4 linked regions of the Arabidopsis thaliana genome follow. The protein of the gene in region 4 interacts with the protein of the main gene of each other region in a pairwise test. Each region holds a gene or a part of one and is shown on either strand. Other genes may lie near its edges. The genes, in order: AT5G47790, MP, ARF18 and IAA6.

Region 1 (6,961 bases), on a different chromosome or scaffold from region 4:
TTCGCAATCTTGTTCTTTTCTTCATGCTCCTCACCGTCGTTGCTCATATCCTTCTCTACACCGATCCCGCTGCCTCCTTCAAGACCCCCTTTTGTCAGTAGTTCTCTCTCTCTTTCTCAATTCTCCGATTTGAAATTTGCTTCTTATCATCTTCTTTGTTTCGTTCTGTAGCTAAACGCGATTTCCTCGAGGACGTAACCGCCTTGGTCCGTATCTTCTTCCCTCTATCTCTCTCTCTCTTTTGATCTTCCCTTCCATTGCGTCACATTGTGTGTTTCCTTTTCAGACTTTCAATTCCGATGAGAATCGTTTGAATCTTCTTCCTCGGGTACCTTTTCTTTTTCCAGTTACTTATTGATTCGCCTCACTCAGATCTTAGCTCGTTTCTTCACTTTCTTCTTCACATTCATCTTTAGGAATCTCCCGCTGTGCTCAGAGGAGGACTCGTCGGTGCTGTCTATTCCGATAAGAATTCACGGCGGCTAGGTAACTTCAATTCTCTCACTCGCCTCTCTCTGTGATGTCTTCCTTACTTGACTTGATTATTTTTTTTAACATTCTCAGACCAATTGTCTGCTCGAGTTCTTTCCGCCACCGACGATGATACTCACTCACATACTGACATTTCCATCAAACAAGTCACTCATGATGCAGCCTCAGACTCGCATATTAATAGGGTACGTGTTTTCCGGAGAATCAGATTGGATATTCCCTAAGTTGATTGGCTCCAGATTTGAATTTGATGCTTGGTAATAGTATATATTTGGATCCTTGTAGGAAAATATGCATGTTCAATTGACCCAACAAACCTCTGAAAAAGTTGATGAGCAACCAGAGCCTAATGCTTTTGGAGCTAAGAAAGATACTGGAAACGTGTTGATGCCTGATGCTCAAGTGAGGCATCTTAAAGATCAGCTTATTAGGGCAAAGGTTTATCTTTCCCTTCCATCTGCAAAGGCCAATGCTCATTTTGTGAGAGAGCTTCGACTCCGTATTAAAGAAGTTCAACGGGCACTTGCAGATGCCTCCAAGGATTCGGATCTGCCAAAGACGTAAGTGTTTCTCACCTCTTGAAATATATGTTTCTTCCTCTTTAACTGATATTTCTCTGCCATTTTTTTGAACCCCAGTGCTATAGAAAAGCTAAAAGCAATGGAGCAAACACTGGCCAAAGGCAAGCAGATCCAAGATGACTGTTCTACAGTGGTCAAGAAGCTACGTGCTATGCTCCACTCCGCAGATGAGCAGCTACGGGTCCATAAGAAGCAAACCATGTTTTTGACTCAATTGACTGCTAAGACCATTCCTAAAGGACTTCACTGCCTTCCTCTGCGCCTCACTACAGACTATTATGCTTTAAATTCATCTGAACAACAATTTCCAAATCAGGAGAAACTAGAAGATACTCAGCTGTATCACTATGCCCTTTTCTCTGATAATGTTTTGGCTACGTCAGTTGTTGTTAACTCTACCATAACCAATGCAAAGGTAAGAATTAACTTTCTTCTTTTGTTTGAACATGTAACTGTGTTTCTTTCTGTTAAACTTACGGTCTTAATGGTTTATTGGCAGCATCCCTTAAAGCATGTCTTCCACATCGTCACAGACAGACTCAATTATGCGGCAATGAGGATGTGGTTCCTGGACAATCCACCTGGCAAAGCCACCATCCAGGTTCAGAATGTTGAAGAATTTACATGGCTGAATTCAAGCTACAGTCCCGTTCTCAAACAGCTTAGTTCTAGATCGATGATAGATTATTACTTCAGAGCCCACCATACAAATTCAGACACCAACTTGAAGTTCCGGAATCCAAAATACTTATCGATCCTTAATCATCTTCGTTTTTACTTGCCTGAGATCTTTCCCAAGCTCAGCAAAGTGCTCTTCTTGGATGATGATATAGTTGTGCAGAAGGACCTTTCTGGTCTTTGGTCAGTTGATCTGAAAGGTAATGTTAACGGTGCTGTAGAGACGTGTGGGGAAAGCTTTCATCGCTTTGACCGTTATCTGAACTTCTCAAATCCACTCATTTCCAAGAACTTTGACCCTCGAGCTTGTGGTTGGGCGTATGGTATGAATGTCTTTGATCTGGATGAATGGAAGAGGCAAAACATCACAGAAGTTTATCATCGATGGCAGGATCTGGTATGCAGAAAATATATATATGCTAGGTCGCATCTGTTTTGATTTCAAGAATGTTTGCTAATCATATACACGAACGATTTTAAACTGCAGAATCAAGACCGAGAATTGTGGAAGCTAGGGACGTTGCCGCCTGGTCTAATCACATTTTGGAGACGAACATATCCGCTAGACCGGAAATGGCACATACTAGGGCTTGGATACAACCCGAGTGTGAACCAAAGGGATATTGAGAGGGCAGCCGTGATACACTATAATGGCAACCTCAAACCATGGCTAGAGATTGGGATTCCAAGATACAGAGGCTTCTGGTCAAAGCATGTAGACTATGAGCACGTTTATCTCAGAGAATGCAACATCAATCCTTAGAATTAGAGTCTGTTGTGAGGGCAATATTATACGTTTATAATCTGACGAGATGATCATTACATGAAATTGTATATGTCACGGTAAAAGGAGTTCCAATAGGCACGACCGATGTTATTATTGCAACATATATATCAACAAGAGGAATGACAACGAAACAATGAAACAACTACTTTTCGTATTCCTTTTTGTCGCTGTTTATGTAAAGCAAGTGACAATTGACATAGGTCTATAGGAGACTTTAGACTTTAATCAAATTTGCCAAAGAGCAATACAACATAAATAGTCAAGCCGATTATCGAACCAGAGTAGCATGAATATTAGCCCAGTGAAGACGAAAAGAGATTCGAATCGGAATTACGTGAATGTGATTTCGAATGACTCTGACAATACGTTTTGACTTGTGTAGTTTATTGTATATTCAGTTTAACTCTGTCACCCGCCGTGTTCAACCTTGCTGGTTCAGAGTTCCACAGGTAAGTTTTTCATAATTTTCTCACGCTGCAGTCCACTTGAGTAGTACTCTAACACAATGTTACAGGTTGGTATGGTTGCCATCAACGATGGGATTCTACTTCGTAATCACATCCACAGGATTCTCAAAGCATTTCCGTGAAAAGCCTTACTATCTTGACCTAGTTGATTTGTTAGGATATGAAATTCACTGATCCATAAAAAAAAACATAGGGGTACGTTTAGAAGAATACATAAAGTATAGGGACTGAAGCTGCAAATTTATGTTCTCAGTAGATGTTCGATCTTTGGACAGAATTGAAGAAAGGAGAAACCCTAGACTGAGTCTGGTTACTTGAAGGGGATCATGTGAATACGTCGACTGGTAAAGAAAGAAAGATTGCTGCTTTTTAGATTTAGATTCGAGAATGTATGGAAGATCTGGTCTTGACAGGTTTAAGAAGTCCCAAACTTCGGAACCCTTCTCTGTATCAGCAAATCCTCCTCCGGTGGTACAACAACATCTGTCTCCGGAGGCATTGTCGGGGCAAAAAACTCAGATTGGAGCTGGTCAATCAAACTGGCATCCCCCTGATTGGGCGATTGAGCCTCGTGCCGGTGTCTACTCTCTGGAAGTTGTGAAAGACGGCCAGATCCTTGATCGGATTCATCTAGATAGACGAAGGCATATCTTCGGGAGACAACATCAGACTTGTGATTTTGTCCTTGATCATCAGTCTGTTTCCCGCCAGCATGCCGCAGTTGTTCCTCACAAGAATGGCAGGTTTGTCATCGCTACTCAATTCTCTCATCACAGCTTTGGCCACTGTTGACATGAGTCTTTTTTATTTTTTGTAGCATCTTTGTGATTGACTTGGGATCAGCTCATGGTACGTTTGTTGCAAATGAGAGGTTGACTAAAGATACTCCTGTAGAGCTTGAAGTGGGTCAATCCTTACGATTTGCTGCCTCCACAAGAATCTACCTTCTGAGAAAGAACAGTGAGGCTCTCTTTTCTCGCCCTCCACCTCCAGCTGAGATTAAGCTTCCTCCACCTCCTGATGCTTCTGATGAGGAAGCTGTTGTTGCTTACAATACCTTGCTGAATCGATATGGTTTAAGCAATGGAGAATCTGGTGGTATGTTAGGGAAAAGGAAAGAGAAGACCGGATCAGAAGCGGGAGTGGCTAAGAGGATGAAGAAAGTGAGAGTGAGCTTCAGGGATCAACTAGGAGGAGAGCTGGCTGAGATTGTTGGCATGTCTGATGGAGCAGACGTGGAAACAGAGCCTGGTCCTATAAATGTCAAAGAAGGAAGCCTCGTTGGGAAATATGAATCACTGGTGCGAGTGACACTCATACCCAAAGGCAAAGTGAAGGAAGAGAAAGCCTTTACAGGAGGAACAAGAGGAGGTGTAACAGATCGACTCCAGGAAGCTATGAATATGTTGAAACGGGGTCCAAAAACAGGGATTTACGATGACCTTTACGGTGGTGACTCACTTGCCAAGGCTGTTGGTACGTCATGGGCTTCTGTGAGTCAACCAGCAGCTGAAACTGAATGTGGAGGGGTTGGTGAAGAAGATGATAACGACGATCTGTTTGGTGACTAACTGATTTTGAACACTGAGATTCCTTTAAGTAACTCTTCTTCTTCTCTAATGCCTACATTCCATTCCAAAGGCATTGGTATGTTGTTTCCTCTTTGTCTATCCAATGGCTGCAGCAAGAAAAGAGAGCAGCTCTAAGCCCAGGCCCATTGTCTTGTGTTATAAGTAAGAACCCTGAAATTTGATATGAGCTTGAGCCTGGTCAGTGGTCATTCTAGTTGTGGGTCTTAACAGGAGATGCATTACATAGATAGTCATTACAAATAGTGTGGAGAGTAGAGAGTAGGGCCAATGCAAATGGAGTGCATTTGATTAGACCACTACTGACTTACAGATTCTCTCCTCAAGGCAGACCAATTCCATCAGAAGAGGACATTTGTACTCAAATACCTCTCCTCTCATTCTTTTTCACTTTTGCCTTTTTGCATTATTAAAACAGCACACTAATGATGTGGGTTGACTTCCCTCTCCCCCACAAAAACAGAGATTCCATGGGGGGAAATGGACAACAAGTAAAACACTTGTAAAAATGGTAATCTGCCTCTGATGCTTTAAGATATGATTTGGGGATCAATGCATCTTTGCTTTGGGATTTGCTTTGTGACAGTTAGTATAAAGAAGAGAGAAGCTGAATGTGCTGCAACCAAATTAAAACTCTCTTTTGAGTTAAGCCTATATCCAACTCCTACTCTTCCTAGTGTGGTCCATTGTATTTATCATAAGAGTAAACTCGCTTGTAATAAATTATAGTAGGGAAAGGTGGAAGACCCACTTTTGTTTCTCACTTTCTTTCTGTTTGGTGAGAAGTTGTTTTCCTTATGCAAAAGATGGAATGCATGAAGGACACTTGTGTCTGGCTTTTTATTTATTTTGGTTGTGGATACTTTCATGATATACTTTACGACCTCAACCCTTTAATACCACACAATCTACCTCCATTCATCTTTTCTCTTCTCTTAATTTTCACCTTATCTCCCAACGAGACCATAGAGGAGTTACTGACTCCAACTTATAGCTACTAGCTATGCTGCGTAACTCTCTTAAACACTACCTTGGCACCTATGACAAATATGTTAGTGAGCCAACTTTTCTGGCTTTGATTTTCAAACCAAACAAGTATGAAGGAAATACATATCAGACACCATTTGGAGACTTGAGTCCATGCGGGGAGCAACAAGTGACGAGGCCGGGACCCTTGTTGCCATTCAACTCTCTCTCTCTCTTGGGATTTAATTTCACTAACACTTTATGTCAATTTGATCATTACCACTTTCACATCTCTCTCTCTTCTCCTTCTTCTTCTTCTTCTTCTTCCTCCCTCATATCAACCTTTGAGCACACCAGTTTTCATGGTAAAATCAATCATCCTTTTGCTTTATCTTTTTCGTTTTTTTTTCTCTCTCTTTTGGTTTTCAGAATTGTATCATAAACAGACTACATGTGAGTTTGTATCATTTAGGAATACATATAATAAAATTTCAGCTTCATCAATATGTAATTATCTTCCTGTGTCTTTCCCACTTTTACCTAAAGATTTGATCACTTTCTCATCATATGTATATATATATTCCTCTTGAACGCAGAGAAGTCTAGGATGAAGTTCATGAAAATCGGAACAAAGCCTGACACTTTCTACACTCAAGAGGCTTCAAGGTTGTTCCTTGATCTCTTTGCCTCTAAATTTCCCAAATTCCATTTCTCTGACAAAATTTTTACACTGCAGGATTTTGATAACAGACACACCTAACGATCTTGTTATTAGAATCAACAACACCACTTATCATCTCCACAGGGTATATATCTCGATTGACTCTCTTATCATAGCAGCACACACATATATGTATGTTAATAGTGGTTTCCATCTTTGTCTGCAGTCTTGTCTTGTTCCAAAATGTGGGCTGTTGCGAAGGCTTTGCACTGATTTAGAGGAGTCTGATACTGTTACCATAGAGCTGAATGACATACCTGGTGGAGCCGATGCTTTTGAGTTGTGTGCTAAGTTCTGCTATGATATCACAATCAACCTCAGTGCTCATAACCTTGTGAATGCTCTCTGTGCCTCCAAGTTTCTTCGGATGTCTGATTCCGTTGACAAGGGAAATCTGTTACCAAAGCTTGAAGCTTTTTTCCACTCCTGCATTCTCCAAGGCTGGAAGGACTCCATTGTCACTTTGCAGTCCACTACCAAATTGCCAGAATGGTGTGAAAATCTTGGAATCGTCAGAAAGTGTATAGATTCAATTGTGGAGAAGATCCTCACTCCAACTTCAGAGGTCTCCTGGTCTCATACATACACCAGACCAGGCTACGCGAAGAGACAGCATCACTCTGTTCCAAGAGACTGGTGGACGGAAGACATATCAGACCTCGACTTGGACTTATTCCGCT
Region 2 (9,621 bases), about 13 Mb from region 4:
CTAAGTTGCTTATTTGGAAGGGAGTGGAGGAGGAGGATGGTACAGAGAGGAGAGGAATGTCACCATTTTCATTTGAAAAAGTAGTTGATTAGTTAGGCTGTTCTGGAGTATGAGGTCATTGTCTTATACGTTACCACATTGATTGTTTCTTTCTTTAGTTAAGCTTTTTCAAGCAACCAGGATTCTTGTAATACGTTAATGCTGACAAGCCCTTGTTTACTTTCTTTGGACTGTATGTTTGAGATAACTGGGCCAATGGTAAATGTTCATGTTTGCTGTATATTCATATTTTGTGTGTAGTGATTCCTGACTCTTAACTAGCGTATTTGATCAAGATCTCTAAGGATTTTGTTTACATGTCAACTGATAATGTGTTTCTCATGTTGAACAGGTACGGCTATTCATATCAGAGGATTCACCTTCACAAGTTGGATCAGAGTCTCAAGATCACCTGCAAGCAAAGTCACCATTGGCTTCACATCCAAGTGATGATAATCTGCCACCTGGTTTTGGTGGACCCTTTTCTGCGAATGAGTCCCAGATTAAGTTATCAGATATCCCACTAATAAAGTGGAAATGCTCCGTCCAGGTGAGTTCTCGGGTCGCACTCCTTAAGCCTTTTTAGTTAGAATCATCAACTTTTTAAAGTACTAATTACAATTCCCCCAAAATGCCAAGATATTTACAGTTATAGTTTACATATATACATATGTTTTCCTCTAGTCCTTTAAGTTGGATAAGGGTATGGGTCACATTTGGTAAATATGGTGGTAAGGTGCTCTTGGTTGGGTTACCCATGTAGGATTGTATTTCCTGTTAATCTAGTTGAGGATGTTCAACCCTTACGATAGTGGCACTAATACTGTAGATAACATGTGCTTTTGCAGATTCTGCTAGATCGGGAATGGAAAGTGGTTGCAGGGGACGAAAGCAAAGAAGTGGAGGCCCAAAATGAGAGGGAATTGAGAGTTCTTGAAGCATTTTATCCTGGCGCATCATCTATTCCTCCAAAGTCCGTATCTAACCCCTACATATTCTTCCAACACACATTTGCATACCCTTTTACTTTTTTTTTTGACTTGGGCCTTTTCTTAAACTCCAATCTGCAGCCCTTCGGTTCCAGCTGATGTTGAGGACTCACATCATGATGATCAGCAAACCATTGTCATACCCATCCTACCTGTAGAAGATGATGACATAGCGATGGATTCAGCATCTGATTTCCCAACCCAATCTGGCGTGGATGTGGGAACAGAGCCATCAATAACCGATGAGAACACATCAACTTCTTCAACCCTCCCTGCAGGGCCAGATATAATGGCTGCGTTATCTGCAATCTCAAACAGCAAAGAACAAGGCAGTATGATCGACCAAGATCTGCTTATTAAAATCCTAAGCAACCCTAAGTTGGTCGAGAATCTTGTTGCAAATCGTGGCAGTGCAGGTTCAGTCTCCTCCAACACAAGTAGCCTCTACTCATCTTCAACACATGAAGCCAACGGAGTAGTAACCACGGCACCTATTTCCTCAAATGGACAATTTTACGCTCAGCCACCCATAACTCATATTCCTCCCATGGCGTATACTCCTCACGCTCCTCAAGACCAACCGAACTATGGAGCACCGCCAGCAAGAGATGCTAGTTATTACAAGAACCTGATTCAGCAACATGGCGGGGATAGACAAGAGACGCCGCCAGTTCAACATCTCGGTTATCGATACAACCTCCAACCTGGAGGAGGACCTAACCCGGAGATGGTAAATAGCAGTAATAATAACCAGAGGCCAAGGGATTCAAAACCCAAGATAATGAAGGCTTGCATGTACTTCAACAGCGCAAGGGGTTGTCGCCATGGAGCTAATTGTATGTACCAGCACGATGCTACACCCTACCAGCCGAGGAATCTAAACAATGGTAATATCAACACTTCTGATATGCAGAATGCAAAAAGAATGAGATTTGACAGAGACTGATGCAGAATTAGCATACCACACATGCTCTCTGCCTCTTGCTGTTAGCAGCAGAGCAATTTTTCTATTTTCTCTTGCCTGGCTTTACTGCAATATAAGTTTTATATACATTTGAAATTATTTCTTGGTTTTATGCCACAAATGTAGAATTAATTAGCGAGTATTATTTGGCTCACCATCACAGTAGTACTTATACTATCCCTAGTGTTTTTAAGATGATTTTCTACACTTTTATCTTTAACATTGTGCAGAAAAAAGAGTAAAATAATCACAAGATTTCTAAGACTGTCTCAACTACTGATTCATTCATCACTCTACTACATAATATGAATATAGTTTCAGGTCTCAAATCGGAACAACACATCAAATGCTTACAACAAGATGGTTTCTCCTCTACCAGTTGGAGAAAAGAACATTTCTTACTCTCTTTTTTTTCTTACAAATCAGCATGAGATCATTTTTATATTGTTACATTTATGAAACAGAAGTCTTAAGATCGTTAATGCCTGCGCTGTTCAAAAGCTTCATCCCTTCTTCACTCATCTGCTGGACCTCAGTTGGCGACAATATCCTTATGCACCTTACGCATCCCACAAACTCTCTGCACCAGTTTATGTAGTTATGTAAGGAAAACTATTGTAAGACTGATAGTCAGATGAAGTTAATGGATTCACAGAACAGTGAGAGAGAGACTTACTCCCATGGATCATCTCCTACAAGCAGAACATCACTCTCATAATCAACATATACAAGCTTCCAACCCGAGCTTTGTGGGTGAGTTAGTAGTCCTTCCAATCCAAACATGCATTCGATAGCAGATTTTAGCTCCTCGTAGTCTTTAAAGCTTGTGACATCAATTGATCTCCCGACTGACCCGGTTTTTTGAACCTGCCAAGTCAAAACATTACCCAAACCCCAAAGTTTCATGTCAGATTGTGACACAAGAAATTTGTGGAATGAATGAGAGATAATCTTTTTACCTTAGTGTAGGTTCGGACGCGGGGTGTCGCAATTTTCTGCCATGATGAGCCTTTACTATTTTGCCGCAGACTACAATCATCAAAATCAACATTGCTTGAAGATGTACCAGTGCCTCCAGAATTATCTGGAAAATCTTGGCGAGAGAAGGCCTGTGAGTCTGCAAAGCTAGCTGATGTGATCTGCGACTGGACATCTTGAGCAAAGCTAGTGTTGTTGTTTCCAACCAAACAACCAGAAGGGTGGTTCTGGAAATCAGTGTCTTTGATGGCACAGAAGTCATCAAGGACTGTGTTTGAGAGTGGAGGATCTAGAATGTTACTGGTTGTGCTATTACTCATACAGATATTCTGACTAGCATAAAGGTCCTGCTGCATCAAGGGACTGAACTGGTCAAACTTGAGACCGTTCAACTGAGTGTCCCACACATCATGAAACAGCGGTGAGTTTGTGGAATCCGGTAACACAACAGCTGAAGAATCCTGGGAGGATAGAATGAATGGTTGCTTGTATGATCCGGCAAGAGACTGGAAGGAAGAGACTTGTGATGTCAGCTCATCAGTTTCCAGGAAAGAGAATCCATTTATTGGATCAGACTGTGGTTGGTAAATCTGATGAGTAATGTCAAGACATTGATCAGCTTGTACAGGCGACGAAGCACCCGGTTTCTGAAGTAGCTGATTAACCTTTTCCTCATTACACACTGTGGATGTAGTAACCTGGCTTGCCTGTTCCATTGACTGCTCAAGTCCATGTTGGACTCTACCAGAGCTGCAACCAGAGAGTGTAGAGTTCTCAGGTTTAGCAGGAGCACTCATACTCTGTGAAAGATTCTGTTCTTGGCCACTCGTATTAGAAGCAGATGGGTTCACTGTTAGCTTGTTTTGTGGCTGCACCATCTCAGATTTCTGGTTCATCATCAGGGGTTGCTGCATCTTCATATCTCCTAGCAAACCTCCATTCCCCATTACAATATTCTGCTGCATCTCAGACATGAAAGATGGTACATTTTGGTTGTTGTGAGGCCTCATCATCATTTTCATAAGCTGCTCCGAAGCCATACTAGGGAAAGATGCATATGGCATAATCCCATTCGCGGAATCAGGAACACGTATAAGTGGCCGTTTTATCAAGCTACCCCATTCAGTTTCACCAGCTGCATATTTCATAACAAAACTTTAAGGCAGCAAATCTCATGTAAAGTTCACAACAAGGCACACTTATATTTTACTCACCAAAGTAAGATGGATGGAGCTGACGTTTGAGTCCTGAGGTCAGAGAAGGAAAAATGAAGAGACTTTCAGGTGTTTCGATATCCCATGGACTGACCCGAGTAGGTTTATCATTACATCCAGGCTCATCCCATTCTACCTGAAGGTTACGCCACTTAGAACCAGGCCATCTCAACGGATCCAAATCGCTGATTCCAACAATAGTTCCCATGTACCTAAATACACAACCAAAACGTGTATAAGTGAACAACCAAATTTGATAAACAAAAACAGAAAGATTGCAGTTTACGGATAACTTACCTTCGTTTCCCGGAATCTTCAGTTTCAAACATCATTCCAAATCTCATACCAACTGAGAGCTGAGACCCGCATATCGCCTTACGGTACTTAGCTAGAGGGATCACGAACTCTGCTGGACAAGCTCTGAGAACAAACACCATAAGTTACGTTACAACTAAGAAAATAGTTTTATATCATTGAGGATTGAAGAAGCTTTTGAGCTAACCTTGGATTATAGAATATCAAAAAAGGAGTACGGTTGGCGGTTGCGTGAGCAGCAGCAGCAAGAACACCGATGTGCATACTATCCGCTGAGAGAACTGATGAAGGAAGTGCTGTTTGTTGGCGATTGGCACGCCTAACACCGACCATAAGTTGTGACTTCTCATCCCTTTTGGCACATTTTCAAAGGACAAATGACAGTCAGAAGATAAGCAACACCAAAATGAGTCAGAGCCAAAATATCTCAATAGCCAAGGTTTTTCACCTGATGAACAAAACAGAATCCCCAGCTCTCAATCTCTTCGATCCAACGAACAAACTCCATCCTGTAGTTAGGAGATGTCTCTTTGGTTGCCCTGAGAATGTAAGCAGGAACTGAGCTCAATACCAACTCAATCTAAACAGAGAAAGAGACAAATCTAGTGGTTATACCTCGGTAGATATGGCGAAATGTCCAAGTATTCTCATGAAGATCTCGAACTACAAGCTCTTGCGTTGGCGGCTGTGCTGAGTAGTCCTGCAATGTATTTAACATAACATTAGCAGGCTAGCAGCAGTTAAAGCAATAGGAACATATGAGGAAAAGAGAAGCTCACCAATGGTGGAAATAGCTTCTCTGCAGCTCTACGTGGCACTGAGAAACCTCCATGTGTGCTTGTGTCACTTGCAGTAAGTGTTTTGCAGAAAAACTCAGTCGGGTGCTTACTTCCTCTCAGCATTCCAAAGTCTGGTACAGGGAACACATCTCTCTCCTGATGCACACAAACCATTCAAACTCATTCAACTTCAACATGAGTTCTTAAATGAAACAAAAGGAAGTTGCAAGAATCCAAAACTTACAGAGTGAACAGGTTGAAGACTCATCTGAGCATAGATTTCGTCACTGTCTTTGTCAGCCTATCAAAGGGGAACAAAACCATTGTCAAGAAATATCAAACTTGGTTGCAATTTGTTTGGATACGAAGCAAATGAGAAAGATTGGCGTACATGAAGAGTAACATTATGGACTTGACACATCAACTGAGATGGAAGGTTCGGATAATTAGGAACTTGTGTTGTTGCTGATCTTCTGGTTGAAACAGCAACCTAATAAGTCAAAAAGTGAACAAAAAAAATCAAACCTTTTGAACAGGAGCTAACAAGATCTAGAGAAGTACAATGTGTTTGTTTGTTCTTTAAGACACACAAAGTTACCTGCTCGCTATGACCTTGTGAGAAGTAATACACTAAGCTCCCAACTTGAGGGAGACACACCAAAGGGCCTGCACAAGCGTGCCATAGCTCCGAGTTTATTACCGGCTTTCTTGTACCTGAAAAATGTTCAAAATCGCATTTTTAGGGGAAAGTAACAAAATTTCTAAATGTCATTAGCATAAATTATGAAACCTTTTGTTATCACAGTTTATTCTTAAAAAGGTAACTTTTTTAATAAAAATCTTGAGAAAGAAGAAGATGAAAACCTGACTGGTCTTTCAACAGCTTCATCTCTTCAAGCAAGGTAGATTGAGATGTTGTTGTTGTTATAGTTCCTCCACCATTAACCAAACAACTTGTTTTCATCTTGTCTTCAACACAAGACAATGAAGCCATCATACAGAGAGATTTTTCAATGTTCTGTTTTGTCTCTCCCACACTCAACACTAACTAGGCTTTAGCAAGACTCAAGAGTTTTTCTTTTTCTTTACTAAGTCTTCATTTTATTTTATTTAATACAAGAAGAGACAAAAAGAGCTCTATTGAGCAAAGAGGCTACAAGAAGATAAATCCAGGACAAACCAGAGGAATTAAAGACAAAGCCATTTCATGGAATCTGTTTTTTTTTGGTTAAAGAAGACTCCAAAATCGAAGGACAAAACCCTTACACATGACAAAAACAGAGTGGGAGAGATTAAAGAACATACAAAATAGGGACTACACAGACAAGCATGTCTCTCTTGTGGGGCTCTTGCCTCTTCTCTTTCTCTCTCTCCACTCTTCTTTTCTCAGACCAAATTCGACCCTTCAATGAAGAAGAGAAACCAAAGGTGCCATCATGAAACCACACAGTTTCTTTCTTTGGTTCCGGATGCAAACAAGAACAAGAAGCAATTGAGAGAGAGACAAAAGCTTTTAAGAAAAAAAAAACTTTTGCTTTCTTTTAATTATTTCTCTGAAAAATCCCACATTTTTTCTTCTTCTCTCTCTAATGTATATGAGTATTAGTATAAATGTGTATGTATAGGTTTTATTTTGCTTGGAAATGGGAAAGAGTGTGCATGCTCTTATCCTGCGCTTAAAACTTTCTGTATATGGCGATGCCGTTGCAGCTTTAGACTCTTTAAACGAATAATATTATATTTTATTGTTTCCCATTAATTATAAAATAAAGTTTTGGTATTTCAATAGATACATCTATATTATTATTTAATGTTTTAGAACAGTTTACGTCAAAAATTTAATAAAGTAGAGTAAGCACACGTAATCTCTGATACGCACAGAAACGTAGTTGAATGTACAAGTACTTTCAATGCTTATGTTATAAGGCAGATAATAAAGCTTAAAATAAGTACCATGAGTGAATATTATTTTAAAAAGTGTCCTACTTTTTCAAGAACTTTGTAAAATATAAAATGTTTTTTGATTATGGCAATAAATTAAAATTGATTAAGAACTTTATGACAAAGGAGGAGGCTTCTTTTTTCGTTGCAATAATATATACTTTTCTCAAAATGTTAATCTTTTCTTGCTGAGATTTCGTAAAAGGGATGTGAGTGGTGAGACTTTGGGAGATCTCTAATACAAGGTGCGTATGATAGGAGAGAATGTCAAAATAGCGTATATTAGCACGAAGCCTAAAGAGGTTACGGGAGGAAGTGTATCTTCCAATCTTTTTTGCCCGGGTGTTCTTTTCCTTTCCAAGTTAAGGACTTCAAAAATGTTTTCTTTCTTTGGTTAGAAAAAGTTATTTTGATATTTGCAAGATTTGGTATAGAGATTAAAAAAGATTTAAGTATGGTTTAGTTAAAACTTAAAAGTTATAAGGTGGTATTGTTTATATATACTTAAGAGTTAAGACCACCTCCAAATAAATTGAAAGGACTGTTGTTTGTGGTTCTTGCATTTGTATTGAAATTGAGCTTTGTAAAATATATTTGTATCTACAACAACCAAAAGAAAGGAATATCTTGGTTCTCTGCACCTGTAAACATAGCTTGTTCTGCTCATTATTAATATCTAATACTCTAAACCACATGTGTAATTATGTCTAATTGTGTATAGTGTGTACCATTACATCTTTAGACCTTTTTAGTTACATACATTTTTTTTTTTTACGCACACATCTCTAGTTTGACCTTTCCATTGTTTTCTTGCGACGAAATAATTGACATGCGGTCATTGTATTATATTGTATGATATGAAACCATATCACTTTCCATATCATTACTTATCAATCATACGTAAATAAAAATCGCTTTCCTTCATGTAATATTACTCATAAACAAAATACAAATGAGCATAGTTAAGTTATATATAGGATTAGTACACAATCCACATTATCACATATTAGAGAAAAATAATCAAACATATTATAATTTATAAGTGGATATATAGTAGCATCATTATGATAGAATATCTATATAAACATAACTACTTATTCGGATACGCGTTTGTCACTAAGATATATTTGAATCAAAGGATCTCCAATCAAGTATATAATGTGTGGAATTTGCTGTTGGCAGCACATTTTAATATACAGTTCAAATTTAGCAAGGAGTGAAACATGCTTTTGATGATAATGGAAAAACTCTCATTTCCGGTGCCAAGATTGTGTGCCATCAGCAAAATCTTTGGAACAAATAGTCATTACGTATAACGAGGAATAACATCCCACGATGAGGTTTACTAGATATAATTTTATCATTCTTATCAATTGTTTTCTCTTGTATCGTTTTTTTTTTTCTCTACTGTATATCATTTGTGACAATGCCTTCAATAATCCTAAATTCATAAAAATAAAAACTCTTACCATACCAAATTTTAACCACATGCAAAGAAAAGGATACCAATCAAAATCAAGTGTATGCAGATTATCAATCCGAATCCTTCCTAAACGTTAGTTTGTCTTATGTAGATTGGAAACTTGTAAAAAAACAAGAATAAGAAATGAAGAAAGAAAAAAAGAAAGTGAAAAGCATTATTTGGTGCTTTTGCGTCTGAAAATTTTGACCGCTAGGCACGCGTGAAGTGGACGGCAAATCAATGGTTGAGTAAGAGAGGAAGAGGAGGCGTACATTAGCATACTCGACACGTGTATTTTAATGTTATTTTGAAAATGATTTTTGGACCGACACGGCGCCGTTTCTGCGCTTCACAGTTCACATCCTTACCTACCTCTCTCTCCTGCCAAACTAACAAAGCAAAGACCGATTCCTATTAATCCCATAAGAAAACAGTTTCATTATAATTTTACTTACTGCCACTAGATTTACTTTCTTAAATCATCACAAAAAGTATACTTCCATATTGGTGTAACATAATATAGTACAAATCTTATAAATCGTAGTAATTGAAAAAAAAACATAAAATAGTGGTGGCTTTTAACAGTGACAGTGGACCAAGTAATGTAAAATGGAGATATAACATGTAGAATAATTGGAAAGAATAAAAATGTAGTGGAACAATAAGTGATTAGCAACCTAAAAATGTATAATACGTAGTGAAATTTTAACTAACTTTTGGCTAACCAAAAACATTTATGTTGGTTTAAAATTTTACGTTAAGTTGATGAAGATACTTTGAAGAAACTTTTTGAAGGTAATTGGTGTCGTACACATGGGCAAGTGCAACCTAATTTTTGGTTAGAATAATGAAAGTAATAATACTGATTAACCCGGGTAAGTGTCGATTACCGTTCAAGATGATCTGTGCAATAGTAATACTTAGCACGTAATAGTATGTT
Region 3 (8,309 bases), on a different chromosome or scaffold from region 4:
ATAATCATAATTATTGGTCATTAGCAAACTTAGAGTTTTAAGACACCTTACCCTTTAAGTGGAGGGAAGAGTCGTTTTTATGATTTTAGCACAGCTTAAAATTATTGTTTACTATTGTCTAACAAGACCTATGCTAAGATTTATTAAAATAATTACCCCTAAAATGCTCTTGTTAAGGCTCCACCAAAATCAAAAGAAAACAATAAATAAGTTTCTGCTTATATAAAACTCTACAAATTTCTGATGTTACGTATATTGTATACTCGTTATAAGCAATTAGGCATAATGGAAGACAGGGACGAAATGTGGTGTACGGTCAAATAGTAAAATTGTACAAAATAAGTTTGGTTTGTGGAAAGTTTGAAAGTTCAATTATTGCAAGAGGTTGAAGGTAAATACGACAGTTGGAATCAAATGTTATTTGCTTGACTGGGTTATCAACCTAAGCAAGAAATTTGGTTCTTAAAACAATCTAAACATATTGGTTTGATTAGTACTTCTTAATCTTTCTGCAATGATAAGTAGTGTACTGTTGATAACCATAACCTTATAGTAGAAGATAGGACCATGTTGGTATTTTTCCACAACTTTTCCTTCTCTTTTTACAATTCATAACAAATGAATACTGTCGATTAGTTCAATATATAAATATAAGTAATACAAATATTCCTATATTCTTGTAAAATGACGTGGTGACTATGACTAAACAGGTGATTAAGTATATTATCAAATATATCAATGGAATATAACAGTGATTAAGAAGAATAAACAAAATTAAAAGATTTTGTGGAATGGATTCCACTAAACCACTACGCAATTTAAAAATAAAAATACTTAACTAATGTATAGTTATTTATTCCCATCCATGCGTTCATATTCACTTTGAATGATCATATTCGTAATCCTATTTATTTATTTTACTATTTGAACCTTTTGTGTGTATAAATAATTTCAACTAGAGAGAATATCCGCAGCAGCTCGTTAAATTAGTCATTGAATTAAAAAAAGATATTCAAATTTTCACCCAAGAAAAACGAACGCAACTAAAATGACGTTCAAATTTGGCATCATCTTTAGGTGTATATTATTGTGAGAGATATGCAAGCATGAAATCTCATGCAGGATAAGAATCATTGTTAAATTTATTTTAATTCCGTTATATTTATGGTAATATCATCCTATTACCTTTTCTAAAATTATGTTTCACTCTTTAGTTCAACCTTTGGTGATGAAATTCGATTCTTTCATATCTCGTCTCCGCTTTGCAAGGATTTGTCCGTACAATAATCATATGCACTATTTTAATTATTTTTTTGTTGGGTGGGATTCAAAAAAGTTTTTTTTACCCCTCTATCAGCTAGTTAGAGAAGTGAGACTATATATGATTCCAATCAATAATACATCACATCTATATTTCGTCTTGTAACGCGGCCACATAATCTTCATCAACGAAGCTTGAATGTTGTAATAGTGTTTCACTATCAACAACACACATTTGTAGGCCTTATGTAATTAGCGAGAGAACTCTACAGTCTACACTATAACTTTGAGTGGAAATAAATACTCGTATATGGTAACATAAAAATACTATGAACTTATGATTATACAAACTTGTAAGTAAAAAAGAGTGGTAAGGCTATGTAATATCGTCGACGTTTTCTAGGTAAATCTTAAGCTATAAAAAAGATTTTGAAACCCAAATAGTATCGAGTGATAGCATTAGTCTCATCGGGTGGTTACAAGCCAACATTGATTCGTGTTGCAAATTTTATTAAATACAAGGGTGTACACAAATCAAAACGCAATAATATTTTTGGATCATAGTCTTTCTTCACTATCATTGGGAAAAATAAAATAAAATAAGAAAAATAGCGATAGAATTTCCTCTGTAAATGAGCAAAATTGGTAGGACAAGTCAGCATTTGACACGTGTCGGTCATGAATACGACTAAACAGCGTGGCAATTTCTCTTACTCTGACGTGTCCATGTGGGGACCACTTTCTCCTCCGACACTTCGGCATGGCTTTCTCAACTTTTTATCACTCTTCTTCACCATTCTCATTTACTAAGCGCGTGTCTCCCACCTCTATCCGATTTAATTTTTTAAATTTGACGTTTCAAAAGTTCCTTCTATAAAAGCAATTAACGATAATTATATGAAATCCGTAAACATGAATTTTTCAAATAATTTCGATTTTTGATTTGCTAAGATTAAAAGCGCGTGAAAGAAAAAAAAGAATACAGCATGAACACCAGCGACTCAGAACTGACTCGGCACGTGGTAACATAAAACTCACACGCTTCCCAAGACGCTCGTCCCATAAAGAGTCATGGCTGTGACCTTGTGCGAGTGTGGGTGTAGCCATAGCCTTTGTGGGTCCTAAATAAAAAAAACGATCAATGGCATAATGTGTAATTAACTCACATTCCACAGTGTTAAATAAAAATTAAATCTGTAACGGAAAAAACAATCTATCTGATGTTACACAAAAAAAAAAAATAACGGAAAAAAGAAAATGTGGCCGGGGTTTAATAGAGAAGCCGACACGTTTGCCTGCCACGATCCAGACACAAGACGATGTGGGTAACGGCACCGTCAAGTGCTAACGGCAACGGGGTCATCAGTAAAAAGGGCAATTTAGGGATATAGAGTAAAGTCATAAGCTTATTTATTACTATCGTCTTGATCGGACGGCTGAGATTTGCCCTCTCCTTTAAATGCACCGTACGTTTTTTTTTTACATAATAAAATGTAATTAGTTCATAAGCAATTCCCAAAACGCCGCGTGACCCTTCGTTTGCCTTTGAATACAATTTGTTTTATTTTAGCGCATTTAATATATTTGAGTTTCCTTTTTAGCGATGACATGATAAAACAAAAAACAACAATTTTAGAAAACATTTAATTAAATGAATAGAAAAATAGGGAGATTCAACTGAAGTTACTGTGGGTGGAAATGACAGGTCTCCAGGATCTGAACTAAGAGAAAGTCTCTCTATATTTTGATATATAGAGAGAGATAAAGAAGGAGAGAGTGTGAATATATGTATGTGCATGATACTGTGAGACTTCTTCAGTAAAGGAAGCAGCTTTGGTTTGCTGCGGATCGGGATAAAAACGGCGAGAAGTTTGTGATTGTTGAAGCAAAACAACACGGAATCTGAAAGGAAAGGAGAAGACAAAAAAAAAAAAAGATTTTAAGAGGAAGAGAGAGAGAGATCGGTTTCGTGGCTGACGGAAAAAAAAAGGGGAGAGATTTAGTTTTATCCAACAGTGCCTGAATTACGTTCTGCAATCAATACGGACATAACCGTCCGTTGTGTCCTGTTTATAAAGTTTTGCTTTTTTTATTTTCTCCATTGATGGGTCTTTTCTTTCTTCTCTCTCTCGTGTTTCTTTCATGGGGTTAAGACTAGTGTTTACCGCGTGAAGGTTTTTTTTTCTTTCTATTTTCTTTCATTTCCTCTCCTTCTACTTCTTCTTCTCCAGTTCTCATCTGGGTTCTTCAATGGCGAGTGTTGAAGGTGATGATGATTTCGGAAGTTCTTCGTCAAGTGAGTAGTAAAAGGCTGAGACTTTAGAAAGTTTTGTTTTTTTTTTTGTTTCTAACAGTGACTCTGTTTGGGGTTTTACTCTGTAGAATCAAAATCAGCTTTGTAAAGTTTCGATTTTTTTTTCTTTCATTTTCTCGGGAGACGAGCTTAGAAAGAAATAGAAAAAACCCCAACTTTCTTATTTTTCTCGTATAGCTTCAAAGTTCACATTTTTGTTATAGTTTTGCCGCGGAAATGTGACTGTTAGGGTTTTGTTGTTGTTTGATTTTAGGGTCTTATCAAGATCAACTATACACAGAGCTATGGAAAGTTTGTGCAGGTCCATTAGTGGAAGTTCCTCGTGCTCAAGAGAGAGTTTTCTACTTCCCTCAGGGTCACATGGAACAAGTATATACCCACCCAAAAATCATCTCTTTTTACCCCAATTTTTCTTTTTCCATTCTCTTTCTAAATTCTGGGTTTTTTTGCAGCTTGTGGCGTCAACTAATCAAGGAATCAATTCAGAAGAAATACCTGTTTTTGATCTTCCTCCAAAGATACTTTGTCGAGTTCTTGATGTCACTTTAAAGGTAAAGTTGGATCATAAATGTTAAAATGTTTTATTTCCCCTGAATCTGTTAACTAAATTTTGATTTATAGGCGGAGCATGAAACAGATGAGGTTTACGCTCAGATCACATTACAACCAGAGGAAGATGTAAGTTCTTAAAAAAAAAACTCAACTTTATTTCAGTGAGTGTTAATTTATATTGATTGGAATTGATTTCAATTTACTGTTTTGTTTGCAGCAAAGTGAACCAACAAGTCTTGATCCACCTATTGTTGGACCAACTAAGCAAGAGTTTCATTCGTTTGTTAAGATTTTAACGGCTTCAGATACAAGCACTCATGGTGGATTCTCTGTTCTTCGTAAACACGCCACTGAATGCTTGCCTTCTTTGGTAAATATATTCTTAAAGAAACCTTCTCAATTCAAGAAACTTTAGCTTGAATTCTCACTCCAATTTTACACTTTTTAGGATATGACACAAGCTACTCCTACTCAAGAACTTGTGACTAGAGATCTTCATGGCTTTGAATGGAGGTTTAAGCATATATTCAGAGGTATTGATTCTAATCTTGGTGTGTTTTTGTGAAACTGTGTTTGGACTAAATGAGACATTGACTCATTGAGTGCCGTTTTTGGTTTAGGACAACCACGGAGGCATTTGCTTACTACGGGTTGGAGTACATTTGTATCCTCGAAAAGACTTGTAGCTGGAGATGCTTTTGTGTTCTTGAGGTACTTTTGAAATTGAAACTTTATTCACTGGTCTTGTTTAGTTTCATGAACCTAAATGTAATGCCTTTGTGTTTTTCAGGGGTGAGAATGGGGATTTACGGGTTGGAGTGAGACGATTAGCTCGGCATCAAAGCACAATGCCTACTTCGGTTATTTCAAGTCAGAGCATGCATTTGGGAGTTCTTGCTACAGCTTCTCATGCTGTGCGTACAACAACAATCTTTGTTGTCTTTTACAAGCCTAGGTATATAGTAATGTTCTTTAGATGATTTTGCTTTATATACATAGATGGTTTAGGACTCTTTGATTGAAGAAAAGTTTTCTCTCTTTGCAGGATAAGCCAATTCATAGTTGGGGTGAACAAGTATATGGAAGCTATAAAGCATGGATTTTCTCTCGGTACCCGATTCAGAATGAGGTTTGAAGGAGAAGAGTCTCCTGAGAGAATGTAAGAATCCATTTTCTCTGATCATTTCTTTTTTGTCAGTGTTCTTGATTCTGAAACCTGGAACGTCTTCAGATTTACTGGTACGATTGTGGGAAGTGGAGATCTATCTTCACAATGGCCAGCTTCTAAATGGAGGTCATTGCAGGTTCAGTTAACCATTCCACGTTCTTACATTTTAGTGTTTTACTTATTACGTGGTCTTTATATAACGTTTTTGTCTTGGTCTTTCTTAGGTACAATGGGATGAGCCAACAACAGTTCAGAGACCAGATAAAGTCTCACCATGGGAGATAGAGCCTTTCTTGGCAACTTCCCCAATTTCAACTCCTGCTCAACAACCACAATCGAAATGCAAGCGGTCAAGACCCATCGAGCCATCAGTTAAAACACCAGCCCCACCTAGTTTCTTGTACAGCCTCCCTCAGAGCCAAGATTCCATTAATGCATCCCTTAAACTGTTTCAAGATCCATCACTTGAGAGAATTTCAGGTGGATACTCCTCAAACAACAGCTTCAAACCCGAGACTCCTCCTCCTCCAACGAATTGTAGCTATAGGTTGTTTGGATTTGATCTCACAAGCAATTCTCCTGCTCCAATCCCTCAAGACAAGCAACCGATGGATACTTGTGGAGCTGCCAAGTGTCAAGAACCCATCACTCCAACCTCAATGAGTGAGCAGAAGAAGCAACAAACATCAAGAAGTCGAACTAAAGTAATTTTCTTTATCAACTCATATAATAACATAGCAACAATGTTTTGAAAATCTGATTTCTTTGATCTTGGATTGAAAAAGGTGCAAATGCAAGGCATTGCGGTTGGTCGTGCGGTTGATTTAACACTGTTGAAATCTTACGATGAACTGATTGATGAGCTTGAGGAGATGTTTGAGATTCAAGGACAGCTTCTTGCCCGAGACAAATGGATCGTTGTCTTCACTGATGATGAAGGAGATATGATGCTTGCTGGTGATGATCCGTGGAAGTAAGTTCTAAAATAACAGAGTTAAACATTTCCGGTTTAGCTCAAATCAGTTAAATGTGAACTTAAACCGGAACTGATTTTGCAATGTTCTGTTGTGTGGGATTGTGCAGTGAGTTTTGCAAGATGGCAAAGAAGATATTTATATATTCGAGCGATGAGGTTAAGAAAATGACAACGAAACTGAAGATTTCTTCGTCGTTAGAGAATGAGGAATATGGTAATGAATCATTCGAAAATCGTAGTAGGGGGTGAGAGTTTTAGCTGTTAATTAAGGTTAATTCGGCGACGTCGTTTTAGTGCGTAAGTGTCTAAAGACTTTTTTTTTAGTCTGTGTATATAAAGTCTTGTCCTCTTTTTCATGTCAATTTTTCAAGTTGGCGATTTAATATTTCGGTTTTGGGACAGTGGTTGATGGGGCGGTTTTACATCTTTTATGTGTATGTACTTGTTCCATAACCATTCAATTTTCAAAACCAAGTACATTCAATTAGTTATGGGTTCAAAGATTATATTTCTAATCAATAATTAAGGCTTAAAAAAAAAAAAACTACAGTATTAGAGAAGAATACAAAATACGTGAAGGCGTGGAAATCAACGCGGCGGGCATCATATGAAAGTCATGGAAAAGTAAAGGAGTCAAACGACTAGTTAAGATTCTCTTTTGGAGTTGGTAAAAATATTTGTGGATTAATGAACTTCTAGGATATAGTGTTATTAGAAAATTGAACTGAAATCGAAAAAAATGAAAACTAAACTTTGGAAGTTCATGTTATCGTGCCAAAAATAAGTCTCCATGATGTTCTCTATAAAAATTCTTAAGTTTTAATTTCCAAACCTTTTAGCTGCATCAGATTTTTCTTTAATAAAATGCAAATGACAAAAGAAAGAAAATCTATTTTGTTTTCGGATAAAGTCACATATGAAGTGTATACTGTAGTTGATATTTGTCAAAAAAAAAAATATTGTTTTAAACTTTTAATTCAGATTTGCCTTATAATGAAGAAGAAAACAATACAATTATTTTCAAACTTAGTATTGGTTTGGTGGTGGTTATGTACTTATGTAGTATGGAGCAACTGTTTTTTTTTTGCTAAAGATTAATTGTTTTTGGTATGGAGAAATTGTTTTACTTTGACAAAAACCAAAAAAGCCTCAAGCTAACTAAACTGAATAGATTTTGGAGCTGTAGTATAGAAAAAAAAAAAAAACATTTTTCTGTTTGGATAAAAGATTTGTAAAAACATTTCTACCTTTATAAATGATATAAAGTTTCAGTCCGAACAAATCATACAAAACGAACATCCATAGGACCATCATACTCAAAGTATGAGCTACAAATATCGTACTCCATTAATATAAAATCAAACAAAACTTAAATTTTCATACATATACTAAGAAATTAATAGGTGACAGAAAACAAAATTAAACACGATCGTAGTTTTAGTTGTAGTCGAATTAAATCTGACTAATTTTCCTCAACCAAAGAGTACGGGTTTGACTTTCAGTTCGAGGAATGGTTATAGTTAAACAGCGTTGCATCTTCAATGACAATTACATATATTTAATCCATTGTCTTCTTCTTCAAACGAATCATAATAAGCAGAAACAAGAAAGAGATATGGTTAAAACCCAAAAAAAGAACAAGAAAGATACAAGTTTTGACGCAGACGATAATGAGACGATGATAATCATCACATCGAAACTTCAACATGTATTAGCCGCGAAATCGAGAAGGCTACAATACTTATCATCACCGGTAACGACTAAAGACGTGTCATTGTCACTCATGTCGTCCCCTGATGATTCACTCTCTCGCGCTTCGATTCCTTTCTCATGGGAAGAAGAACCTGGCAAGCCTAAACACCATGTTCGTCATCCTTCTTACTCCAAGTGTCTTGATTTGCCACCGAGGATGCTCTTTCCTGACGAATTTACCAAAATGCCTCGGACAGCGAATCATGGTCGTTATCTCGCCGGGTGGAAACGGTGGTTCCGGTGGAAGAAAGAGAGAGATGGTGATGCTTATGTGGCCGGAAGTGGAA
Region 4 (5,845 bases):
ACGAAACCCTAATTAAATGAAACAGAACAAATCGATTGAGTAAAAGAAACCCTAATCAAATGAAACATAACAAATCGATTGAGTAAACGAAACCCAAATCAAATGAAACAGAACAAATCGAATAAGTAAAACTAAACCTTACTAAGATCTGCAGAAAATCGATAAGGTTTCAAATAGAAACATTTCTTTACCTTGCAGATCGATGTGAGAGGAGAGGCGGCAAAGAAGACCGAGTTGTCGTCGGAGAAGAAGAACGGAGACGGAAGAGACTCGATTTCAAACCTCCGAAATTAGGGTTTCCTGGTTAGCGGCGGCTATCTGGATCTCCTCGTAGAGGATGTGGCACGACGGAGAAGAAGAATGGAGAAGAACAAAGGAGAAGAAGAACGGAGAAGAAGATCCGGAGAAGAAGAACAGAGAAGAAGAACAGAGAAGAAGAAAATTTTAGGGTTTCGGTGTGTGCGGCTAGGTTTGAGCGCAGCTCAAACACGGTTGCAGTGTATATATATATTTAAAAAGCCTCGCAATTCCCTCGCAAATTTTGCTACGGACTTGCGAGGAAACGACTTATTAGGGTTTTCAACTTATTTGCGAGGGATTTGCGTCTTTCATCGCAAATCCCTCGCAAATTGCTAGGGATTTGCGAGGTCAATAGCAACTCCTCGCAAAGTATTCAAAAAACAAAAATTAATAAAAATATCCAAAAATTTCAGATATTTAAAATGAGAAATTTATTAAGAATTTATAAGTTTTGAAATTACAAAAAATCTTTAAAATTATAAAATTGAAAGTATATATAAATCATTTTCTGAATTATTTATTCATTTATTTATTATATTTAGTAAAAACATCAAAAGTAAACAATATAGTAACATTTATTCTTATTCATTTTCTGAATCATTACTATCATTTTTTTACTCAACGCTTTCAGCAGATTTGCTGAATTCGTCTTATTGTTTTTCTTCTTCGGAACCGTCTGTGATGTCTTCTAATTGTCTATTTTGTAGGTCAATGTGGATAACATCTTCTGTTGTTATGTCTGGTATGGAAACTTCTCTGAGACTTTCTTGTTACATCACAACATCATCAACTAGGCCGACTATACGGCCTCTGGAATTAACTTTAATAACCGATAACCACACTTCACGCCTAGGCCTCACACGCGGGTAAGATAGAAAGCTTGTGATGCTAGGATAAATGGTTTGAACTTTGCATAAGTCTTGTTTGCATTGACATCGACCACGAATGATTTTGCGGTTGTGATCTTAGATCTTGGTTCTTGAACGATCTCATACAACCAAAGTAGTAAAAGTTCATTTTCACATCCGTTAGTAACCTACATAAAGTAGATTTTAATTAAGTTTATCATTTCAACATAAGTCATTAAGATATCAAAATTTCCAAATATTACTTACATATAATTTTAACCATCCAGCGAAATCACGATCTTTGTAAGTTTCGTCGCAAAAATTCCCACAGAACAATATTTGTACTTGCAAGTCCCTCGCAATTTGCAATGACTTTGCGAGGAATTTTTTCGTCCTCGCAAGTTCCTCGCAAATTTCACGCAATATTGCGAGGGAATTATCCCTCGCAAAATTTGCGACGGAAAAGCGACGTGTCTTCTCTCCCTCGCAAATGTCTCGCAAATCTGTAGCAATTTGCGAGGGATTGTTTCCATCGCAAATTGTCCTCGCAAATCGCTTGTTTTCTTGTAGTGGTATTTGGAAGTTTATAAGGTTTATCAACTCCAACTTAAATACTTCTTCCGTCTTTGATACTAGATGTTTAAATGTTTTGCACACAAATTAATTAATCATTTATTTTTATTTATTTTTTAAACTAAAAATCATTTATTATGTACCTAAATACGATTCAACAAATAATAAAACAACCTACAGAACTTAAATCGTGAAAACAATTAAAAAAATTTACATTGAAAGTTGAAAACATTATCTAGTTTAAAACACATTTTTTTTCTTCTCTAAAATATGAAATATATAAAAATATCAAACTGAATCATTCTTTTTTCTTCTTCTTATGATCTCTGTCTTTCTGTTAGATTATATATATGAGAATCTTATATTTGTATATATCTAATATCTTAGGAACAGATTTATGCTTATCTCATGTAACCCTATATATATGTTCAATACATAACTCTCCATTCACGGAGATTCATACAATTACACTTTCATTATCATCACACTTGTAAATACTGAATTTTATAGTTGCCTTCATGATTTCGAACTAGATATATATTCTGTTGGTTCTGATTACATTTATATACATAAATTTATTCCAAGTTGCGTGTTATTTATTTGATCAGAATTAGTATATGACCCAAAAATAAATATTCAAATCAAAGTTCATGCGGTTTCATCATTTAGCTACGCGATGTAGGAACATACTTGACATCTTATTTTTATTTGGTCGTTCTTCTCTATGAATCACGTGGAAAAGTATACCAAATGATTTTTGGCAGATACGTATTACTAAAGTATCCGAGATTAAATATTAATACACTATATAGAAGAATTAATGGGACATAAATCATAAATGCATGGAAACATTGGTGAAAGACACTTAACACTTGGGACGACCAATGTTGTTTGATATGAAGTGAAATTAACGCGTCTGCCTAATTGTTATGGTTCATATTATGTCACATGGACCAACTTCTTGTTCTTCTTCATTCAAGAACCAACTCACGTACACGTTTTTTCATTTTCTTCCCTCAAATATCTAGCTGTATATTATATTGCAAAATCCAGATTTGAATATGATCGATGCAAAAGATTGTTTATAGAGTAGAGTAGTAGACTAAAGAACCAGATTACTCTTACCTATTCAGATTATTTGTGTTATATTTTGTAACTAACTTAGGTCACTAAGTAACGAATTTAAAGCTAAATGCATCTATTCATTCTATCACAAAATCCAGCCGTTATTTTTTAGAAATGTGAACAAATATTAAGCATTAAGATATTTAAAATAGGAAAAATAATAGCCACAAATAAAGTAAATTAAAGAAGAAAAAAAAAAACATTAGTGATAGTCCGATGATAGACGTGTCCTATTGATTACATGTTATTTCCCACTCAACTTCCTTAATTCTAATTCCAATCCTTGATGTGAGGGTTTTTTTCTTCATTGATTCTCAAATCTACATTATGTGATTCTTGATGTACCTGTATGTACAATTTGTATTCAACTACCAAATAAAAATGTGAGCAAGAATAGGCTAAGAAATAATACTAATACAGTATCCTTAGAATACATAATTGTATATTATTAAGGATAACACATGTAATGTTTAGGAAAGATGGCCAATGATAAATCTTATAAGAAACCTAACAAATATTAACACCGGTAAGATTTGTTCTCTTAAAACAAATCCTATATAAACAAAAATGAAGAACAAGGACCCAACATATGTCTCTCATGTGACCGACCAACACATCCTCAGTTGACCTGTCTTTGGTCTAACCTTGTCTTCCTCCACAAAGCTAACAGAAATAATTATGAATGTTAGTCTCTTCCATGTGTCAGTATATTATTGGATCTTGTTGGAGCAACTTGACAACATATAAAAGCACGAGGCAGCTCAATACTATCATTCCAACAAGAGAAGTGCTTGAGAGAAAAAAAAAGTATCAAAACTTCATATAGCCAAATTTAAACAAAAAGAAAAAAGAGAAGAAATAAATGGCAAAGGAAGGTCTAGCACTCGAGATCACAGAGCTTCGATTGGGTCTTCCAGGAGATAATTATAGCGAAATATCAGTATGCGGATCGAGTAAGAAGAAGAAGAGGGTGCTCTCGGATATGATGACCTCATCAGCGTTAGATACTGAGAATGAAAACAGCGTCGTTTCATCAGTTGAAGATGAATCACTGCCGGTTGTGAAGAGTCAAGCGGTGGGATGGCCACCTGTGTGTTCTTACAGGAGAAAGAAGAACAATGAGGAAGCATCGAAAGCTATAGGCTACGTGAAAGTGAGCATGGATGGTGTGCCATACATGAGGAAGATTGACCTTGGTTCGAGCAACAGTTATATTAATCTAGTCACGGTTCTTGAGAATCTCTTCGGCTGTCTTGGCATAGGTTAGTAATGGCATGGACTAATTTCCCGTAACGTTAGTTAATAGTTACATGACCATGTTTATAATTGAGCTATAAACTTTATATATACGTATTGTTAGGGTTTCTATATATATTGGAAGTGTGAAGAGAGTAAAACACATATATTAGTTGGAACTTTATGAAATATAACACATGTATATATAAACTATGCAGGAGTGGCGAAGGAGGGTAAGAAGTGTGAATACATTATTATATACGAAGACAAGGATAGAGACTGGATGCTCGTCGGAGATGTACCTTGGCAGTAAGTTTATGTTTAGCTTGCATTACAATGCTCAATTATCAAATTTACCAAAATGAATATAATTAACCTCTTACAAGTCAAAAATTTGTAATTTTATTTTTTAAATTGTAAATTTTTTTTGTCGGCAGGATGTTTAAAGAATCATGCAAGAGGCTGAGGATCGTGAAGAGATCAGATGCAACTGGTTTTGGTCTCCAGCAAGATTAATCATACTAGCTAGTGTTGATCATCTTTAATTAACCATAAAGTTTGAAAACCGTTGAGTAATTTTTTTTCATTATAATCATTTTTCAAATTGTAAAATTTATATGATAATGATGATATATACGTTTTCTTCAAATGTATTTCCTTACTGGTCGTATCATACTTTAATGTTTTATGGCTCATTAAAGGTGTTTCTTAGCCTCACAATACTTTTTTTTTTCGTCTGAATGATTCATATGAAATATAACACTTGAAATTGTTCACAAAAGTACAAAAGGAAACGAGGGTAATCAACTACAAAAAAACCATAACAACAAAGTAATGCCTCACAATAGTTTGCTTTAGTAGTTTTCTAGACTTACTATTATTTTCTCTTAAAAATCAAGTGGTACGTGATTATTATAACTTTATAAATCCTCCGGCTAAATCATCTTTTTATCGCCGATCCAAAGATAGTGGAAACCTATGAATCTTAAACGGAGCTAAAAATAGTGAAAACCTAATGAATCTTCCCAACTAATTTAAGAAAGAATGAAAAATGTTAAATATTTGTTTTTTTCTTTCACCAAGAGCCAAATTAAAGCTGGCTTATTCCTATATCATATCAAATGTAGTTTTGGGTGAAGATTCTAACCACTTTGTCGGTCCAAATAAATGTTGCCATATCTTCCGTATTAAATGATCATATCAGTTTGCAGGTAGCAGATTTGAAGTCTATATATATACTACATCCAATTAATCCCAACCCCTAAAGTTATCAAGACACTCACGCAAAAGAATGAAGGCACCGCCACAACAAGAAATGACTTACTATGACAATGTCAAGAAACGGCAAGACGAACAAGGCTGCTTATTCGCAACGTCCGTACCAAAATATAATCTCTTCTCTTTTCATTTAGTATCTGTATCGTAGACCCTTTTGTATCATTTAGTATCTCTTCTCTTTTCTTTTTTTATTTATCGAATTCGGAGTTCTTGATTATTTGATAATCTTTTAACCTGTTGTAGGTTTTACGCGTTGTTCTGTTGCTGTTGCTGCTACGAGAAGTGCAAGTGTTGTTGCTGCTGCGTTTGATTTCTATATATGTATCATCATCTCAACATTACTCTCATTAATTGTGTCCCTCGCATCACAATTGCTCTTTTAGATCTACTTAGTCTTGCGAATAAAATGTATATGTAATGGCTCAAGAACTCTAAAAGTTGATAAGATTTGAGTACTGTATATATTAATGAACAAATTTTCACTT

The links.
Region 1: the proteins of IAA6 (region 4) and AT5G47790 interact in binary tests that used the Arabidopsis thaliana proteins (3 or more experiments, as listed by UniProt).
Region 2: the proteins of IAA6 (region 4) and MP interact in a two-hybrid assay, tested with the Arabidopsis thaliana proteins (3 studies listed by BioGRID, with this or other methods).
Region 3: the proteins of IAA6 (region 4) and ARF18 interact in binary tests that used the Arabidopsis thaliana proteins (3 or more experiments, as listed by UniProt).

What each region holds. Positions count from the first base shown.
Region 1 is NC_003076.8:19,348,004-19,354,964, forward strand, and holds AT5G47790 (SMAD/FHA domain-containing protein), read left to right. Parts: upstream 1-3,288; 5' UTR 3,289-3,392; coding exon 3,393-3,748; intron 3,749-3,822; coding exon 3,823-4,576; 3' UTR 4,577-5,492; downstream 5,493-6,961. Other genes in the region: GAUT4 (galacturonosyltransferase 4), read left to right, coding at 1-93, 172-206, 287-328, 417-486, 565-677, 778-1,052, 1,131-1,488, 1,573-2,148 and 1 more; AT5G47800 (Phototropic-responsive NPH3 family protein), read left to right, coding at 5,598-5,925, 6,157-6,226, 6,297-6,366, 6,448-6,961. UniProt on the Arabidopsis thaliana protein: Inhibitor of protein-phosphatase 1 (PP1). Binds to and inhibits PP1 activity.
Region 2 is NC_003070.9:6,884,007-6,893,627, reverse strand, and holds MP (Transcriptional factor B3 family protein / auxin-responsive factor AUX/IAA-like protein), read right to left. Parts: upstream 6,960-9,621; 5' UTR 6,276-6,959; coding exon 6,143-6,275; intron 5,993-6,142; coding exon 5,877-5,992; intron 5,769-5,876; coding exon 5,670-5,768; intron 5,580-5,669; coding exon 5,523-5,579; intron 5,435-5,522; coding exon 5,279-5,434; intron 5,200-5,278; coding exon 5,115-5,199; intron 5,039-5,114; coding exon 4,948-5,038; intron 4,852-4,947; coding exon 4,687-4,851; intron 4,605-4,686; coding exon 4,482-4,604; intron 4,397-4,481; coding exon 4,185-4,396; intron 4,106-4,184; coding exon 2,952-4,105; intron 2,860-2,951; coding exon 2,669-2,859; intron 2,573-2,668; coding exon 2,446-2,572; 3' UTR 2,224-2,445; downstream 1-2,223. Other genes in the region: AT1G19860 (Zinc finger C-x8-C-x5-C-x3-H type family protein), read left to right, coding at 199-258, 392-589, 888-1,012, 1,110-1,974. UniProt on the Arabidopsis thaliana protein: Auxin response factors (ARFs) are transcriptional factors that bind specifically to the DNA sequence 5'-TGTCTC-3' found in the auxin-responsive promoter elements (AuxREs). Seems to act as transcriptional activator.
Region 3 is NC_003074.8:22,884,661-22,892,969, forward strand, and holds ARF18 (auxin response factor 18), read left to right. Parts: upstream 1-3,228; 5' UTR 3,229-3,510; coding exon 3,511-3,556; intron 3,557-3,607; exon of another isoform or gene 3,608-3,827; coding exon 3,828-3,943; intron 3,944-4,026; coding exon 4,027-4,125; intron 4,126-4,195; coding exon 4,196-4,252; intron 4,253-4,343; coding exon 4,344-4,496; intron 4,497-4,574; coding exon 4,575-4,659; intron 4,660-4,746; coding exon 4,747-4,837; intron 4,838-4,916; coding exon 4,917-5,081; intron 5,082-5,171; coding exon 5,172-5,285; intron 5,286-5,357; coding exon 5,358-5,430; intron 5,431-5,518; coding exon 5,519-5,998; intron 5,999-6,079; coding exon 6,080-6,267; intron 6,268-6,377; coding exon 6,378-6,519; 3' UTR 6,520-6,795; downstream 6,796-8,309. Other genes in the region: AT3G61826 (uncharacterized protein), read right to left, coding at 1,971-2,063; AT3G61829 (uncharacterized protein), read right to left, coding at 2,531-2,662; AT3G61840 (auxin response factor, putative (DUF688)), read left to right, coding at 7,886-8,309. UniProt on the Arabidopsis thaliana protein: Auxin response factors (ARFs) are transcriptional factors that bind specifically to the DNA sequence 5'-TGTCTC-3' found in the auxin-responsive promoter elements (AuxREs). Could act as transcriptional activator or repressor.
Region 4 is NC_003070.9:19,671,423-19,677,267, reverse strand, and holds IAA6 (indole-3-acetic acid 6), read left to right. Parts: upstream 1-3,615; 5' UTR 3,616-3,708; coding exon 3,709-4,108; intron 4,109-4,300; coding exon 4,301-4,391; intron 4,392-4,519; coding exon 4,520-4,598; 3' UTR 4,599-4,792; downstream 4,793-5,845. Other genes in the region: CDT1 (cadmium tolerance 1), read left to right, coding at 5,408-5,456, 5,604-5,743. UniProt on the Arabidopsis thaliana protein: Aux/IAA proteins are short-lived transcriptional factors that function as repressors of early auxin response genes at low auxin concentrations.